4 linked regions of the Caenorhabditis elegans genome follow. The protein of the gene in region 1 interacts with the protein of each later gene in a biochemical or structural test. Each region holds a gene or a part of one and is shown in the gene's direction. Other genes may lie near its edges. The genes, in order: flp-3, dmsr-1, frpr-16 and dmsr-7.

What was found.
Region 2: the proteins of flp-3 (region 1) and dmsr-1 interact in a test that uses a peptide from one of them, tested with the Caenorhabditis elegans proteins (one large-scale study listed by BioGRID).
Region 3: the proteins of flp-3 (region 1) and frpr-16 interact in a test that uses a peptide from one of them, tested with the Caenorhabditis elegans proteins (one large-scale study listed by BioGRID).
Region 4: the proteins of flp-3 (region 1) and dmsr-7 interact in a test that uses a peptide from one of them, tested with the Caenorhabditis elegans proteins (one large-scale study listed by BioGRID).

What each region holds. Positions count from the first base shown.
Region 1 is NC_003284.9:10,091,446-10,094,808, reverse strand, and holds flp-3 (TPLGTMRF-amide), read left to right. Parts: upstream 1-1,844; 5' UTR 1,845-1,890; coding exon 1,891-1,954; intron 1,955-2,002; coding exon 2,003-2,200; intron 2,201-2,249; coding exon 2,250-2,426; intron 2,427-2,474; coding exon 2,475-2,590; 3' UTR 2,591-2,863; downstream 2,864-3,363. Other genes in the region: flp-2 (SPREPIRF-amide), read left to right, coding at 135-180. UniProt on the Caenorhabditis elegans protein: FMRFamides and FMRFamide-like peptides are neuropeptides. SAEPFGTMRF-amide inhibits the activity of dissected pharyngeal myogenic muscle system.
Region 2 is NC_003283.11:11,436,450-11,442,180, forward strand, and holds dmsr-1 (G-protein coupled receptor dmsr-1), read left to right. Parts: upstream 1-2,320; 5' UTR 2,321-2,368; coding exon 2,369-2,439; intron 2,440-2,718; coding exon 2,719-3,035; intron 3,036-3,086; coding exon 3,087-3,346; intron 3,347-3,641; coding exon 3,642-4,109; intron 4,110-4,490; coding exon 4,491-4,676; intron 4,677-4,737; coding exon 4,738-4,968; 3' UTR 4,969-5,115; downstream 5,116-5,731. Other genes in the region: F57B7.2 (SCP domain-containing protein), read right to left, coding at 5,687-5,731. UniProt on the Caenorhabditis elegans protein: G-protein coupled receptor.
Region 3 is NC_003280.10:6,028,661-6,033,019, reverse strand, and holds frpr-16 (G-protein coupled receptors family 1 profile domain-containing protein), read left to right. Parts: upstream 1-1,813; 5' UTR 1,814-1,837; coding exon 1,838-1,960; intron 1,961-2,007; coding exon 2,008-2,099; intron 2,100-2,155; coding exon 2,156-2,312; intron 2,313-2,359; coding exon 2,360-2,463; intron 2,464-2,670; coding exon 2,671-2,986; intron 2,987-3,035; coding exon 3,036-3,160; intron 3,161-3,304; coding exon 3,305-3,410; 3' UTR 3,411-3,529; downstream 3,530-4,359.
Region 4 is NC_003283.11:5,403,545-5,409,241, forward strand, and holds dmsr-7 (G-protein coupled receptors family 1 profile domain-containing protein), read left to right. Parts: upstream 1-1,808; 5' UTR 1,809-1,825; coding exon 1,826-1,911; intron 1,912-1,978; coding exon 1,979-2,191; intron 2,192-3,046; coding exon 3,047-3,190; intron 3,191-3,386; coding exon 3,387-3,645; intron 3,646-3,693; coding exon 3,694-3,824; intron 3,825-3,872; coding exon 3,873-3,998; intron 3,999-4,209; coding exon 4,210-4,350; intron 4,351-4,414; coding exon 4,415-4,489; intron 4,490-4,539; coding exon 4,540-4,654; 3' UTR 4,655-4,842; downstream 4,843-5,697. Other genes in the region: C25A6.1 (Serine/threonine-protein phosphatase), read left to right, coding at 4,984-5,307, 5,691-5,697.

The sequences.
Region 1 (3,363 bases):
TTGGAAAAACAACATAAATCAAGCTTAAAACCCAAACACATATTTGGAAACGTCATGTATTCTTACTAGAATCACTTCTTACAAAAATGTTTAATACACTTGCAGATCGATAGAATTTATTTTATTATTTTCAGTTTCGGAAAACGATTCAATCCGCTGCCAGATTACGACTTCCAATAACTCCATCCTATCAATGATTCAATGCACGGTGAACCCCACTACTCAGCCAACATCATATTAGATATTCCAACATTTTCTTCCCATTCTCGTCCTATATTTTGATCCGTACTTTCAATGCAACAACATTTTTTAAACTATGTTTCCTATAACTTCGAATAAAGTGGTTGGGTTCCGCATGGAATAATAGCCCATCTGTTAACCAAGTCTTACGTTTTCTTCGCGAACAAAGGAAACGACTACTGGCACTGAATTTCAGATTTTAGCCAGATTAGGTCAGAAAACGAGGCACACTATTTTCAAGATCAAAATTTTAAAATTCAGTCTTGCTAGTTCTTCAAAGAATTGTTTCGGAAATGTCAATGAGTGCTCATAATTAAACATGTGGAGTGACTTTGGAAGGTGCTAGAATTTCCAAGAAGCTTTGATTTATTAGTTTTCGTTTTAATTTCAAAACACTGTTCAATCTTGAGAACAAGATTAGTTCAACCTACTTAATCATTTCTCGCGTTCTGACAAGTGACGTTTTTGACAAAAAATAATGTTTAATTATTCAAAAACAGAAAATCCCCCCTCCTTAAAGCTCAGTTCATTAATCAGCTTCGCTTCACAAATTCGACAAGGTGGCATCTCAACCAACAGGCACCAATCGGATTCTGTCATTTCTTTCTTTTTTGAGAACAAATGTCTATCTACGTTTTGAACTAACACCAGTCCCGGTTTAAATTTCGTACCTGACAATTATCAATCAAGACTTACATTTGACTAGCTGTGCACGCAAAGATTTAATAATTGGCGGTGGGCTGTGTGAGAGTTGATGTCACAAAGTTACAGTATCCCATCAAAAAAATGGGTTCGAGTCGTCATTCTCGTTATCCATCTAGGCTTGAATTATGATGTTGAACATCAAAATTTATAGGTTTTTCGAGAGATCCCACCTCTTCCGTTAACCGCCGCCCCGTTTCAACACAATTCTTTCAGTTTCAAATTATTAACCTGAACTTTGAAAACTACCACCTACGCTTCTTCTACTAATTTCGAGTGTCTTTTTAGACTCAATTATCTTATTTCTTTTCTTAGAGTATTCCAAAAATGTCACATGACGATGCATAAATTGAGGTGCCACCGTTTTTTAATAGAAACTCTGGCCGCAATAAAAGAGCAATAGCATTGTTACTTGGCAATTTGTTTGAAGGAGTGTTGGGCGGCGGTAGACGTCGTACGTCAAATCGTGCATTTTCGAAGTCTTTTCTCGACACAATAGTAATCGTTTGACCTGTGCATTGCAACATCAAGGGACCACTTACTTTTTAGAAACCCGCCCCTTTAAACCAAATTGCCAACGCCTCCAATTTTTACCTGACAATAGAATGTACCGAGTACTTATTAAACAAAGTTGTTCGCCAAAGCTCAGATTTTCAATAATTTTTGAGCACCGGATTTCAATTTTACTCGTTTCACATGAACATTTTTCTAACTGCACACAGTATTTACGCATTCCTGACCAAATTTCTAAAACCCCACACACCTCTTCCGGCATGACAACTGAACCGTTAAAATTGTTGAAATTAAGCTCATATAAAAACATGCAAATATCTCGGCGGTTCACAACCTCACTTCTACTTCTTCTTGACTAAATTTTCCGTAACTAATTGTTATATTTTAAGGTACCCCTTGTGTGTTAGCTCCCGCGTAACACCACCATAACCACCAATGATATCGCCCAATCACCTCATCCTGCTCTTCTGTGTGAATTGCGCGTTTTTGGTAGCGTCGGGTAGGAGAATAGAAATTATGTTTTTGAAATAGAATGAAAAGTATTTAGATGCCACACCAAAACGGTCTCCACTGGGAACAATGCGCTTTGGCAAACGAGCCATTGCTGATGAAATGACATTTGAGGAGGATGGATACTATCCGTCAAATGTAATGTGGAAGCGGTCTACTGTTGATTCTTCGGAGCCCGTCATTCGTGATCAGCGCACTCCATTGGGAACTATGCGTTTTGGAAAACGAAGTGCAGGTATTATACAAATAATTAATTTTCAAAAACTATACCCACCTGTTTCCAGAGCCATTCGGTACTATGCGTTTTGGAAAACGTAATCCTGAGAACGACACACCATTCGGAACAATGAGATTTGGAAAGCGTGCTAGTGAGGATGCTCTGTTTGGAACCATGCGTTTTGGAAAGAGAGAAGACGGTAATGCGCCATTTGGAACAATGAAATTTGGGAAACGTGAAGCAGGTATACAGTTCTGTACTAAAGTTTGATTTCACAATGTTATGCTTTTAGAAGAGCCACTTGGAACTATGCGCTTTGGAAAAAGATCAGCTGACGACAGTGCTCCATTTGGCACAATGCGCTTTGGCAAAAGAAACCCTCTTGGAACCATGCGCTTTGGAAAATAATTTCTATTTTCACTTTTCACGTTTATATTATTCTCGCTTCAACTAAGTTTTCATGTTCAACACCCCCGCAGCAGTGGCACTCTCTTTTAACATTATTTATCATTCTGGCTTCTAATTCATACCAAAATATACCGAAACGATTGCATAATTCTTGGGCTTTTGCAAAAAACTAAGGAAAAACGACTATTCCATAATACCCCCTTCTCTGTTCTTCTCATCAAGTGGTTTGCATAGATTGGAGAATAAATTAATGTTATTATTCACTTTGTTAAATTTTGTTGTTAGTTGTTCACGCTTGACCAAAATAGTTAGCTAGCAAACTGTAAGATTCTCAAATTTAGTCTTTGCTTTTGATGGAGAAATTCTCGAACACAATTTCATGGTTCGCTCGTCCGCTTTCATCATCCGATTGGCCAAAACTTCCGGTGTTTTCCCCTTTAGACACTTGAAAACAAATATGAATTCGAACATTTCAGATGTTTACAGAAGACCAACATGTGCCAACCAATGAATGCGTGGAAACTGCCGGCTTCTTAAAGAAGTTTACTCAGCCTACTCACAATAGAACTATCACTAAAGCACAGAGTCAAGGAAAAAAATATTATGGATGAACTGCAAATTAAAAATAAAACGCTGAATGTTCACAATAAACGCATATTTTCCCTTTTCTGCTTATTCGTTTTGTTCTTATTCTGAACAGTCATCGTTACTAGTTCACAATGTTATCTGTTGCTTCATTTTTTGTATATTAAAAATGGAGTTATAAAATGCAG
Region 2 (5,731 bases), on another chromosome or scaffold:
GAATTTCAAGATCCATTCCCCCAATCTTGGGAGTAGAGGAGCTGAGCATCCGGCGGCTAGCGAGGTAGCAATAACACTGCATTCCATTTCTTCTTCCTCTCATCCTCCTCCTCCTCGAATTGAATGAATTCAATTGGACGGGCGACTGAATTTATAAAGAAATATGAAAATGAGAAGACGGGGAAAATATGGAATGCAAAAAGAAAAGAATTTCATTGTCCTCATCTCTCTAAGTTTGGTCAGTTTATCCTACGGCTTCTTCTTCTGTCACCTTTTTATGTGCAGAAATAGTTGCGTCATTCGTAAGGTCACATGAAGTTTCGTTTAAGTTAGGCAAAGAGCCCATCCACTGTCACAAATTCGGTTAGCTTCAGAATTTGCATTTTTCTCGGTCTCAACATCCGTCGGTTTTTTTATTTGGCCCCGTACCTTCCATCTTTTTCTCCGAGTTTGATACTTCTTGTGGGTACTTTTTGTACTCTCACTCGTATCATACTTCTTGATAGGTCTTCTCAACTATCAACTTGTTTACAAGTTTGTAATATTTTTAGAATTTTCTGTTCTGTAAATATGTTTACATGTTGTTGGATTTTGATGTTTTAAGTATAAAGGATTTGATTGCATTGTGGAAACTTTTGGCGTTGCATTTTAAAGTTCGACGTCACAAAAAATAATTTTAAAAAGTAAAATAAGAGAAGTTATAATAATCCTTATTTTTCAGCTATTTTTCAATACAATTTAATACACAAAAATGATTTAACAAGCAATATAGGAAAATCCGACCTAACCGGACTTCCATCATTTTCCTTCCCCTAACTCAAAAGTAATTATGCTTAAAATTTTCAATACTTGGGATATGTTTGCCAGTGGAGTTTGATCTTGTACCTTTTACTTTTTTATCGTAACTTCAAACCGAATTCCGGCAAATATTTTCATTTTCAGCATAAACTTTTGTCGTTTTCTTTAATGATAAGTGCGAAAAATTCCTCTGGCACGAGAGTCAGCTCAATGAGTTTTTTTCCTGAAGTGACTCCGGAAATGGGTGCTCACCTGACATGTGGTCACGGATCAACACATGACTAACTTTGGAAATATCTATCCAAACCTTATCCGCTCTGTAATTAGAGTTGGAGCGCGCTAGGCCGCCTCACACACTTCCGAGCGCTGACCGAAATTTGGTTATATTCTGATGTTATTTTTTGTCGGGGAGAGATGCGTTGCACCCCGCTCTGCGTTTATCTGTCCGTGCTCAACATAAAAAAGGTTCTTTTTTTTGAGTAAAAAAGCAACAAATTCCGCCCATGCTTAGATACTGGGCCCATCATGGCGGCGAACGGAAGGACTAGGAAGCGAGGCTTGTTTTGAGTTTCTTTTAGTGATCGAATAGCGGTTGGAAGTAGATACGGATATTGCACATATATATATATATATATATATATATATATATATATATATATGTGTGTGTTTTGAAGTGAAGAGACAGTGAAATAGTGACAAAAAGCTGTTGAGATATCCATTTAGGTTTTTGAATTTTCTATTTTTCAAAATGCGTAACGTTTATGGTTTTTAATGACGTGATGTCTCTCTGAAATAGCGGGCATTTAAAAACAACTCTTCTTCCAAGTGATAGAAAAAGAAATAATTATCAATTTATTTTTCCAAGTGCCTGGAATTTGTGACATTTTCTTTGTAATCGAATACATGCTCAATTGCCGAAATTGTGTAGCGGCAAAAAAATTAATCAAAAAACGAATGTGAATATGAATTTGGTATAGTGCATATCAATTTTTCCGAAAATTTGTGTACTTTTGAATGTATTAATCTTGTTCAGTTTATGCAAATTATTCCTTCTGAAGTTCATTCAAAACTTTTTGGCTCTCTTTTTTCAATTGTACTCTTAATTTTCCCAGTAAAAAAATCATTAAACTTCCTGTGCTATTTTTATTTTTATATTTTCTGATTTTGCAACTCCTTCAATTTCTGAATAATGATTTCTTTAAGGAAGTTTTATCTGCAAGATCTCCCTAATTGGCAATAATTGGTGTTTATCTTAGATTTTTGAGCAAAAGCTTGCAGTATATTTTTGTTAGTTTTTTTGTTCCAAAAAAACACACTCACCCTATTATTTGAGTGTTTTTGTTTTAAAAAGTGAATGAGCAATGTGTTGCCAAATCTTTGTCCCTTTTGTCATTTTTTTCATAGTCATCTCTCATTTCTAATGACGTTTTCCGGTTTTCCGAATCGGAGCCGTTTTTCATTTGAACGCTTGTTTTCCTCATTTTCAACGTTTCAATATTAATAAATTGTTGTTTTTTTTCAGATGTTCAAATAGAATCAGAAACAATAGAACAGAGGAACAGCAAACAAAATGGAGTTTACCGAATGCAAAACTACATTTATTCATCTGCCCGATAAAAGTTTTTTATACGATGTTTTTGTGTAAGTTTTACTTTTGTGTCTCAAAAATCTTTCAAATAATTGCCCAGTACTGTTGTATTTGACGTATTTTCAAAAAGTACAGTTTATCATCATTAAAAGTTATCCTATTATTTGTAGAAATCATCCCTAAAAATAGCGAATAAAACCAAGTTATTGAAGAAGGTTATCTTATCTTAAATTATTGTGTCCTCAAAAGTGATGACCATAAAAAAGAGAGCCATTAATAAATATTTCAAGAGCAAAAGTGGAAAAAAGTGAAATTAAACGTTTTTTTTTCAGAAGTGTATATAATTTCTACCATCCTATACATGCCTACTTATCAATATTTCTATGCGTGTTGGGTACAATCGCTAATTTCTGTAACATCGTCGTACTAACGAGACGAACAATGCGAACGCCAGTTAATATGATTTTGACAGCAATGGCATCTTGTGATACAGTTGTGTTATTTTCAAATTTAATATACACAACACATTACTCATTTGTCGCTTTCAAGTTTTGTCATCCGAAACATTGGTCCTACTCTTGGGCGTTATTTTTAATTGCTCATGCTCATCTTTCATTAGTTGCACATTCTTCAAGTGTTTGGTTGTCAGGTAAGCTTTTCATTCTGAAGACAACTGTCCAACTCTTCGATTTTATTGCAGTTATGCTTGCACTTGTTCGATATGTAACACTTCGAAGTAGGGGAAATATGGGTGGTATGCAAGTGACGTTAAGGCATTCTTATTATGCCGTTGCTGTTACTGTATCCCTTGTAGCAGTGCTTAATGCACCGAATTTTCTGAATTACAAAATCAATGAACAGCCATTGAATGAAACGTGTACCGATTTGGATCCAATGTTCTGGAATTCGCCCGCGTATCTTCCTGGAATTGCAGACATTGCAAAAGCAAACAGCTGTCTGGTAAGATTTTTGAATTTCAGTAAAAAAAAAACAAGATTTTTGTTAAAAAATAATGTTTGACAAATTGTATACAAACAAAATTTCTCGAAAAACTTTTTTATTGGAACTTAGATTTATAAACTAAAAATTTTGGCAAGATCATCATAATATAACTTTGAAGCTTTGGATTTATATAAACCTTTTTGGAAATAATTGATCGATCATATGTACATATGATATCATGAAAATTATACAAAATAATATTTATCATCGTGATCGTCACCCTAGCAAAAACCAATTTCCTAATTTCCTGCAGGTCTTCCGGTTATCTTATTGGATATCCGGTATGGTATTCAAAGTATTACCATGTGCGCTTCTATCGTTGTTTGTTTGGCTCCTTTTACGAATTCTTCGTGAAGTGCGTGAGAATCGTCAACGTCTTCTCAAGAACTCGCAACATCGACCACCGAATCAAACGACTACTCGAAACGGACAAAGACTGAGCATTTCAGTTGCAGGCAACGAGAAATTAGGCAGAAATGGAAGCTTACGGGGGAGAGGAGAACGTGTCGATCGGACAACTCATATGTTATTGGCAATTGTAGCAGTTATGCTAGTGACTGAATTACCTCAAGGAATTATGGCTGTCTTGTCTGGAATGTGTTCTGAAGAATTCCGAATTTACATTTATAACAATCTGGGAGACATTCTCGATTTGTTCTCACTTTGCGGTTCATGTTGTTCATTCATCATTTACTGCTCAATGAGTGGACAGTTCAGAAATGTAAGTTTTGATATTACTTGAAAAAAATTTCAATGAGCGACATCTTTTCAAAATACCTCAATGAAAAATGTGTTGTATGCTGTTAGAAAATACTACAAACTTTCTCAACATTCGGTGGAACTTTCCAAGCGAATTTGTCTTTTTTTTCTTTGTTTTCTTACTAACATGATGTTCGGCAGCGTCTTAAAATGCGCTTAAGATCTCTACATTTTCCGACAATTGCGGAGTTGTTTTTACAAGAAAAATCATGGAAGTACATACTTTGCTCATTTTATGAATGTGTGTTTAGTTCATTTTAACACAGGGAACAAGCATTTTCATTTGATTTCTATAAATAAAAATTGGTTCATTTTCAATATAGAAAAATCATAAAATTTTTAGGAATTCCACCGTGTCTTTGTACCTGCAAAGGTGAGATGTCTCCGAATGTCATCGCCGTCGATTCGTCGTCCATCCGACGCCTACAGTACCACAAAAATGACTTTTCTAAAACCAAACGAGAAAAACGGAAATGGAATGAATGGAAATGGCACTTATTCGGAAGATACAAGGTCAGCAAGTGTTAAAGTAAGAATATCAACACATGTTTTTTCTACAAAACTTTTGAATAAGCCATGTTAATTTTCAGATGGTCGGAATCCAGGTACGAAGAAACAGTACGGAAATAACGAGAATGACTGGATGTGATTCAATTACTCCATGTTCTCCAATGCCAACATCATTTCCATCATCCCCACTTCCACCGATTCGAAGTGGAGAAGATGAATCCACTGATGAGACATCACATCTACTTAACAGCTCAGGACCCAACTCAACAGCCAGTGCTGATGGAATTCGTGGACACTTTCAAAACATTTGATATCAGAATTTTTTAAACACACAAATTGCAACACGTGTCAGAACAAAACCATTAGTATTTACCATATTCACGGGTTTCTATTTCAATTTTCTGATTACGTTGATTTCTTCTTAAGCGTGTCCTATTAATGAATCTTGTTTTTTATTAGTAACATACTTTTTTTTTAAATCTTTAAACTTTTCAGAATTGAAAAAAAAAATAAAGTAATTGTTCAGAAATTAAAATTCTTTCAATTTGCATATTGAGGTTATTGATTTATGTATATGACAACCTTTTATGAATGAAAATTGCAGAATTGGGAATATTGTATCCTCGGAGAACTTCAAACTAGCTCCCATAGTAGGTAGACATAGATTGATTTTCATAAGCATTTTTCTGGTTTAAATGAATTTTTTATCATGCCATCACAAAAATATTGATGGCAAACATGACAGTCGTATGTCACCGTGTAATTAAAACACTTACTTAAAAAGGATAATCTTCCAACTTGTAAAAATGTTTCGGCATAGCAATCTTTTATTTGTCAATGGAAAGTAATAGCTAGAGATCAATTAACCGACAAAGTTACCGGGTGCCGAAATGAAAGAGAAAAAAACAGAAAAGCTGACTATAATGAAAGCATCAAGTGGGGGAGAAAAGTAGAAGAAAACGCACAACCCGTTTCGGAATGTTCTTTTTCGGTTTCTGGCTACACAAATTGAAAAAAATAAACTAGTAGCTACTTGGAAACAACAGCTCTTTCTGGTGTTGAGATCGTGACGTG
Region 3 (4,359 bases), on another chromosome or scaffold:
CGCCCACAAAAAACCTCTTCTCCCACATAAACAAATAACAATATGGTGATGGATGAGCGGGACCAGAAGAACATTCACGTTTCTTATTTAATCCGTTTTCATCAAATTGTTAGGATTCCGGTAATCTGAATTCCACCTGTACTTTTTTTTTCTGAAGTGCAACTATATCTTCCTTCCTTCTAGAATCCTCGTATTTTGAAGCATTTTCTTTTTTGCTCCATTTCCAAGAAACTTCGTACCAATTTTTAAATCCACCCTTCCCATTTTTCCGATAACTCTTTTCGGAATCCTGCTCAATATTTCCTTATGTGACAGCTCTTCTCGTCTACAATTCCCCCAACGCATTCACTTCAGGAAACACGTCAATGTTCAAATTTTTCTTTTTGAAAGATTCATGTACTGCATTCCCCTTCTTCTTCATCAATTTTCTTCCTCGTTGCCACATGTGTTATCTTTTTACGAGCTGAAAATGAAAACGACACAAAAAAAGAAAAATAAGTATTTAGCAGAAACCTCCATGTCTTTTTTCTCTCTTTTTTCAAACATTTCAACTGTCAAAACTAACACTAAGATCCGTGAGAGAAAAAACAATGCGTCTTTTAGTGGAGAGCTCAAAAGTTCAAATTATCTCATTGAGTTCTATGAGAATCAACATTTTCCACGCCTGATTCTATTCAATAGTTTGATGTCAACAGATTTGTATAAGCCCTGAACGGCATACGTTCAGGATATATAAATCTTTTCAATCAAATTATGATCTCATTATTTCTCTTTTTTCAATACACATTCCGCTGTCCAGAAGCATTTTCTATATAACTATTAAACTCTACGATGTTTTTTCTTCGAATAAATTTTCAGTGTTTTTGAAGTGATTCTTTGACACGATTCTTGATCCCAACACGAGCTAGTTTTACACGACTTATTGTACCAATTTCAAGAGTTAGGTTAAGCTTCAATAAAATACAATTTTTTCGGAAAAAACCTAAATAAATTCTCCTTCCGGGAACTCTTTTCTGTATTTCTCACAATTTTTGCAACTGTGTTAAGCTCCCATCACTTAAGTGGTACTCGAGTAGAACAAAAGCATAACATAGTTACTTTAAGACCACATTGAAAAAATTATGGCTAGAACTATTATGAAAGGTTATTTCACTGGACTGCCTGTAAATAAATTAACGATGAATCTTAACAAATGCCGTTTCTTGATAAACGTTTTCGAATGGAAGTTTGCATTGTGCTCAGTTGGTACTAAATTATGTAGAGTGAATGTGAGTAAAGTATATATAAAACCCTAAAGTTCAATAAAGTTTCAATGGTGAAATCATTCGAAACTTCCACCTGAGTCATGATTGAATTGAATAAACAAATTATCGTAGTTTCAAATTATTAGATTATTAAAATCAATTCTCCATTCCCAATTTCCTTATAAAAGTCACCCCCGTACATATTCCATAAAGAAAATTGAAATTATAATTTCAAAACATTATTTTATTGAAATACCGTATTTCAAATTTCTAAAATATTCTGAACTTTTGTGCAGTCGTTTGAATATTCAATGCATCGTCATTTTTTGTTCCAAATTGAATCCTTATTCTGCTCAATTTTCTATTGGTCTCCTGGTCGTCTTCTAAGTACAAAAAGTTTCACCTTCTTCTTCTCCTTTTTCCACAACTCACACCTCTTGTGGATCCATGAATAAAATAAATTATCCCCTCCCTCAGCTGCCCATTTTCTAAAGCGCTATCCGTTTTTTCTTCGGTTTTTTCTTTCATTTCCGTTTCCACCCACCCAAACTTTCTTCCTTTTCTTACAGAATCTTCACACTTTTGAACACATTATGAATCGGTACGAGTTCTACGAGCTAAAATCATGGATGTATTTACCTGTAATTTTCATTGGACTTCTTGGAAACTTTGCATCATTTTTAGTTTATCGAACAGCGCCGATGAGAAAATCTACAGTAATCTAATTTCAAAGTTTTACAGAAAATTCAAAAAATTCTTTCAGGTTGGCACTCTTCTTCTTATTCTCTCACTCATTGACATTCTGCTGCTCATCCTGATAACTCCCATTTTTGTTCTTGTTTTTCTGCCACTCTGGTGAGTTTATTGAAAGTCTCTCGGGAATGTTTTTCACATCAAACATCAGATTTCAGGCAGGACCAATGGCAAAAATATTCGTTTCATATGAGCTTCTTTGCTTACAGTACACGATATGTTTATCCATTATGTATGATGACAAAATCATGTAGTTTATATCTAATGGTACTTATAACCATTGAACGATGGATTGCTGTATGTAGACCACTTCAGGTAAATTCTAAATTTTAAGTCTTGAATTTAAATTTGTATATTTTCAGGCAAAAGTATTATGCACAAACAGGAATACAATGAAAGCTGGAATTTTCATTATCATATTTTCCATAGTGTTTAATTTTCCAAGATTTTTCGATTATAAAATTGGGTAAGTTTTAAATATTTTAAAGTTTTTCATAAAACATACCTGCCTGTCTATCACCTAATTTCTGTGTTGCTAAACTCTGTGCTACCTAATCGCACAGGGTAGTTTTACAAAATTTTCATTACAATTGTTAACCTGATACGTTTTTTGGACAATTAAGGAGAAAATTTATTACGACGCTCGATTATTAATCTCAAATTTGATTTGCAGAGACGGGTATCTATCTGAAATGTGGATGTTGGATACAGAGAAACACTGGTGGTACTTCATGTTCTACTTCATCATATTATCAGTAATCTTCGATTACTTCCTTCCGTTCCTTATCATGACTATCGCCAATTATCATGTCATCAGAGCACTTCAAGAAAGCGACGAGGTTATCACAGGCTTGGCCGTTCAGAAGCGAAAAGATCAGAAAACAACTGTAATGCTGCTAGTGGTAACCATTTTCTTCGCGTTCTGCCATCTATTCTCAATGTTTCTCAAAGTTGCTGAAAGTATTTTTGGAGGATTCCTTACACAAACCGTAAGTTGTAAACTCCTGAACTATTGAATAAATAATTTATAAATTTCAGAGTTTCTACTGGGAAGTGTTCGCCGAGTTCACAATCTTTTTGATAATCTTCCATACGTCAAGCACTTTCTTCATATACTACGGATTTTCGGAGAAATTTCGAACAATATTCCATGACATCATCAGGTAACTAAATAAATAAACTTCACCCTCACTTCTTCAAAGTTGCACGTTCGCAATGTGAATTATAAAAAAGAGGATTAAAAGAAGTGAGGATTTCGACAAATATCTTAGAATTCGAATTTCATTCAATTTATCAACTATTTTCAGATGTCGCCAAAGGCTGGATGATGTAAAATGCTCGACCTACTTGCCAGTTAACTCATCTGGAGCTGTTTCTGAATCAAAAACAAGAAAAGCTCCGGCAATTGTTTAATTAGAAATAGACTCTTATTTGTTTGAATACTTGTTTTCTTTTTATGTTTTAGATATCTGGTCCCGGTTTTTGTCAAACAAACAATTATGAAACGGGTGAATGAATCTGTCATATTTCCAGTTTGTATTATGAACTTGAAATAATACCAATGAAAATGAAAATAGAGTTTTGAGAACTAATAATTCACATTCTCAGCCTGAAATATTAAAAAAATAGAAAAAAATTTGGCCGAATTTACAAGAAACCAGAAAAAGATATTTTGTGAACAGCAAGCACCTCTCCAGGCATTTGAAAAATTTTGCAGGATCTGAAAGTAATTTAAACAGATTCCAAATTATGGGAACTCTCGAAATATGATTTTTAAAAATTTTTCTGTAGTTCTGTTTTTCTTTTCGAAAACCAAATTTTTATTGTTTCTTTTCTGCGTCCTACTCCTCTTTGAGAAAAAACCACACAAAAAATTCTTTGAGACCCTATCAAATGTCAGAATTTGAAGACCCACTGTGAATATATGAGGCCCCCCTATTACCATCGTTTTTACAAAAAATTCATTCTAAATTCCACGAAATGCCATTTTCCAAATATTGCCAATTTGTCACAATTGGAAGAAGAGTACAACGACAAAAGACGTCACTCTTCAAAGGTGCTTCATCCTTTTTTCCTCAATTCTTGCTCATAATCTTCTGCCTAGCTTGTTCGTTTCTGCACTCACACGTGGTCATGGAGCCGCCCCCAATGAATTGGACGGAAGAAGGTATCAATTCATCTTCAAATCATCTTATTGTTTCTTCGGAGAGCACACACACACATCTCATCATTCACCACCTGCTTCCGTCCGTGAGCACTTATCATTGTGAATTGAATGATAGTACCCACCAATCTTTAGAGACACAGACAGCCCTGAGTTGTAAATCCCAAAAATCTCATGATCCATCCCCACTATCCATCG
Region 4 (5,697 bases), on another chromosome or scaffold:
GTAACTAAATAATGTGCTCAAACTGAAAAAAAACGGAGGCATTCCAAGCAGCCGCCTGAATCATTCTATCCGGGAGTCTGCACAGCCATCTGAAAGATTAGTCTAGAATTGAGCATTAGGAAACTTGTGGAGGAGCCAGAAGGAACCAAGAAAGGCTCCTCTTCATTGCCCAAAGTTTTGTTGTGATTTGTGCATCCCAATTCTCTCCTCTCACTATTCCTACCCCTCCTTCTAGTCCTTCTTTTTTTTTCCTCCTTTTTGCTCGTCACTTTGAAAATAATGCAGTCTCGTCACTGCTTTTCAAGCACTAGAAGCTGCTTGAACTGCAAATTGAATTTGAGGAGAAGCTTCGCCATTTTGTTTCGAGTAAAAAAGACAATGAACACGTTACGTGCGCAATCCACCATTGGTAGCGCCTCTCCTTCCTCCAGTTTTTGCCCCTTTTCAGCTTTTTTCCTGCATTTTTCTCATTTCTCCCCCAATTAGGCTCTCTGCATTTTAAGGTGTTAGAGAATTAGCTAGGTCACTCTTTTGATTTCTTGAAACAAAGATGAAATGTTCAGTGGTCAATAGTCAATAGGCACATCACTTCAATTCCCAAGGGACTTGAGCTTTCTTTCTTCCCCTTTTGACTGCGCCTGCGCCCCTAAACTTTTTTTTTCCACGTTTTCCTTATTCATAAGTCGTGAGAATATTCGATTTTCCGATTCATCTTCTCTGGAAGATGAATTCATTAACTTTGAATGCCACATTTCTGTCTCGAAATCCATTCTGTTTCAAATGTTTCGGTGTGTGTGAAGCAGCACCACACAACAAACATTTTCACAAGATGGCCCCCTGATTTTATATGTTTTATGGTGGCATGAAATACCAAAGTTTAAAACTTTTATACTTAACTAATAAGTTTCTGTTCTAGGTAGGACTAACATGGTAGGCAGGCGCATAAAATTTGAAAGCAATAAATTTGAATTTCGATTAATTTGATGAAAAGCAGGTGGACCTAACTTTGAAGTCCGGCAGGTAGGCAGTCGTTTGGCGCCTACCTAGAAGCCCTAGATCTAGGTTACATGTTCACAAGAAACAGAAAGTTGAGCGAAAGATTAAACATTCACGAACGAGTGTGCTTCACAATTATAATCATCGCAATTATAAAACTGCTGAAAAATATGCTTACTATGTTTTAAAAGACTAGTCTTGCCAAGATAAGTTGGCAGGCATGCCTACATGCCTACCAATTATTTTGTGCATTTTCAAGATCTGCTGAAATCGAAAAAAATTATTTTAAAATGTTTTAAACCCAAATAATAAATATTTTGATAAATATGGCTCTCTTTTACGGTTTCGAGTGTCATTTTTTTTTAAACATGCAAAATTTACAAAAGAATTTACGCGTTTTTTGCAATTTTTCGCTCACTTTGTTTTCGAAAACAAACAAATCTACCGCCCTGGCCGGCAAAAAAATAGGTTTTTTGGTTTTTTTTACTCTAGGAAATAGTTTTTAAAAAATAAAAATCTTCAATCAAAGATTTTTACAATTTTTCAAAGTATTTTCCTGCTATAGAAATAACAACTCACGGAACAAAAATAACTTCCGGCCAGTGACCTATAATTTTGTAAATTTTTTGAAAAACGAAATTATATATTTTGTTCGAAAACTCGATCAGCTTCTTCCACAACAACCGACTGTCATCTAAAAGTTCAAAAAACACAGAACGCATTCCACCCTGTTGCTCTTGGCTTCTTCTGATTTTCTCCTTATGTTTCTTTGTTTCAATGGTCTTTAAAAACCCCTTAAATTTTCAACATTTTGAAGGATGTGCTAGATATGGAATGTCCGCACGATGCTCAGTTGTTTGATCCGAACAGTAACAGTACGCAGGCATTTCTTCGGAAACTTGCACATTTTCAAAGGTTTGTTAAACTATTTTTTGTGCACTTCTTTCAAAAAAAGAAAAATGAACCAATGATTAATTGTCAGATGGTACCAGCCAATTCACGGATATGTATGTGTGCTCATCTGCGTTTTTGGTATCTTCACCAATTTTGTGCATGTGGCAGTTTTATCGAGACCCAACATGCGCAATTCGGCCGTCAACTGCATACTGACAGCAGTGGCTGTCTGTGATATCGGAACAATGGCATCCTATCTCATTTATATTATACATTTTGTCTTACGACGAAATAATTCCTGGTAATTCTTGTGTGTTTATTGGGTGGAAATGTTTTTGTTTTGGGAAATGGAGCGGCGTGGCGGCTTTTGAGTAGGAACATCAACAAATATGGAATTTTTGGAAAAATAACACAAGCTTTAAAATATTTATTTTCTGGTTTTTCCTATTCCAATTTTATGGTGAATTGCAAAACCCGGAAAATGTCGGTCACTTCATAAAAAGGATGTAGAGTTCGAAGGCGCTGATTGGTTTAAAAATAGTCATGGCTTCTCATTTTGGAAAAATTCAAATATGAAAATTCGCAATTTCAAAAATTGGACATTTTTAAATCTTTCTCGATTTTTTAAGTTTCCTTTTTTTTTGATTATGCAGCATATATTTGAATATTTCGAATACTTTGAAACAAAATCCTTATTTTCCAAACTCTACCTCAAACCATTAATAACAAGAATTCAAACTAAGTGTGCTCTTTCTATTGAAAATTTTGAAGGATATTTATATTCTTCTATTTTTCCACTCAAGTATCAACACACACACACAAAAAAACATCCTCAAAGTAATAATGGAATTTCAAAAGTTGAATGCCCATGTTCGTCACTTGCTGCACTTAATTGAAGAGGCATAGAATTTTAGTTGAACCTGGAACTATTTATTTCCTCCTATCCGTTTTATGTGCATCAAAACATGAAAACAACTGCATATTTTATTGATCATAGGAAATTTTGAAAATCGTCACAAAGCTACAAACTACGTGTATTCATAAATAACAAAAGTGAATTCAAGATGAAAAGTCGCTCGTAAAATGATACTGAAAAACACGAAAACAAGCGTTTGCAATGAAACTCAATAATTTTTATTATTAGATTTTATTACAGCACTCCAACGTTCACTCATTCTTGGTTACAATTCCTATTGTGGCATGTTGTTTTGAGCATCACACTACACACAACTTCTTTATGGCTCGCTGTGGCGATGGCGTTCATTCGGAGGATGACATTAAGGGTTACCGCTTTGAATAGGTATGCTGGGAGCAAAGTTTAAGGGACTAACATTTTTTTATACACTAAGATGAACAAGTTTTGTAATGAAAGTTTTCAAAATTTTTTTCAAACAATGGTAGGTATCCAAAAATATTTAAAATTGAAATTTTACAAAGACATTGCAAGCAATATACCCAGAAACGTTGGCCCCCTTAAAAAATCTGGAAATTTTCAGTCAATGGCAACGACCAAAGTTCGCATGGAAGTTGTGCCTGGGAATCTATATGGTCGTATTTGTACTTTGTATTCCAAATATGCTGGTCCACGAAATCGCCCGTGTAGAAGGAAATGACTGGCGACCTGGCAAAACGTGTCAAAAATTTGCATCGAACTACTCTGAACCGGTGTACACTTTTATGGTCAGCCACGCGGCGACTATCAACAATTGCCGGTTGTTTAAATGGAATATTTGGATGATTGGAATTCTGTTCAAGGTTAGCGAGTACGCGAGTTATCAAATTAAACGTCCTACCAGTTTTCAGATCATTCCATGTATTCTGCTAATTTTCTTGTCTTTCGGCCTTGTATCAAAGATTAGAGACGCAGAAAAGCATCGGAGGAAACTAACGAGTGTTCCGTCAAATGCATCAACAGATTCAAAACCATTGAAAAAGTATAGTCAACTCTCAAAGAACTTTTATGACAAAATGGAAATTTTCAGAAAGAATGGAACATCAGATAGAACCACATTGATGCTTGTTGTTATTTTATTGGTATTTTTAATAACGGAGTTTCCACAAGGAATCATCTCGATTCTTTGCGCAATTTTTACTACAGACGTTCATAGGTAAGATTTGATGTTTAACTAGAAATTTGGCCTGGAAAAACTGAAATCGAACTGCCCCAAGCTTGACCCAATTTTTCTTGAGTCATTTGAATTTTTGGAAATTTGGGTGCAGGCTGAGTCTTGCAAAAGTGTTGCTAAATTTTTGTTGGCCCAATTAAAGCTAAAATTGGGCGCTAAAGAAGTTTTCGAAAAATTAAATTTTCCATTTCAGATACCTCTATTTCTACATTGGTGATGTTCTTGATCTCCTATCGCTTGTCAATTCCTCTGTAAATTTTGTTTTATATTGTGTGATGTCTTCAAGATACCGGCAGACGTTTTGGGAAGTTATCATTCCTTCGTGGGCTTGTGGGTAAGTTCATTCTTATTGAACCAGTTCCTGTTACAGTAGTCTAAAATAAAATTTTTCCTCTCAGATTGTGGACGACCCGTCGTGGTTCTCCGACGGAACTTTCACAGCTTCAGTTGAACAACAGCTTACGACTAGGAAGGTCAGTTAATTTGTTTTTGAAGTCTGGAAAATATTATCTTTAATTTGCAGAAAACAAAGCTATACGCCACTGGCAACTGAACCGGAACCAGCACGCAATGAGTATTGGCGGTATGAAGCTTCCGTGTCGGACAATCAGAACAGCAGTAGAGAACATCAACTTTAAATTCCAATTTTTTCGATCTCGGTACAAATTCCCTTTGCAGATTTTTTGTGATATCTTGCTCATTTTCATAGCTTTCGCATTTTCTATTCTATTCTTGTTACGGGTACTTTTTGTTTTTTATTAATTCAGTTTTTATATAAATCAATATGGTTTACAAAATTATTAAATTATTCACGGCGCCGTGAAAAAAAAATTGTTTACAAAAAGACACGTAGATGTGAGTAAAACTAGGAAAAAAAATTATTTTCAATTGAAAGTGATTTCCGAAAGGTGAGTTCTCTTTTTCTCTTCCAGGAATCAAAAGTTAAAAAGGTTTGATGTTTTAGATTATGAAAGACGACGTCGTTGACAACATAATAATTGATGTCCTGAGCGCTAGTACTCACGAAAAGCTACTTTCCGAAGTGATCACGGAAGGACGAGTTCTAAAGCTTCTCGATTTGGCACTGGATGTATTTAAAAGACAGAAATCAATGGTTGAAATGAATGCTCCGATAAAGGTGTGCGGTGACATCCATGGACAATTCCCGGATCTTCTTCGTCTCTTCCATCGTGGTGGATGGCCGCCGACTGCGAATTATTTATTCCTTGGTGACTATGTGGACCGTGGAAGATTTAGCATTGAAACCATTGTTCTTCTTCTCGCTTATAAGGTTTGTTGCTTTAAGTTTTGCAAAAAGAAGCTAGGATCAAAAATTGTGACGCGCCAGAATTAATCATTGACACAAAGAATGCCAAAACAGGGGATTTTTGCAGAGACCGCTTAGATTTTCCAAAATAAGCGTACACATGTGATAAATAAATGTGTTTTCAAAAAGAAACATATTTATTGTCCATCACATATTGCTCTGCAAAAAAGTGCGCATCTCTCAAGTATCAAAGTGACAGAAAGTTGATGCTGCTCCGATGAGCTGTCAAATTTGAAAAATGACGTCAACTGGAGTGATGGATCTTTTGGACGTTTATTTCTCTCTCCCGATCTTCCAAATCCCATGGCGTGAACTTCTTTGAAACATTTTTCAAGTCATGATTCCAGGTGAAAT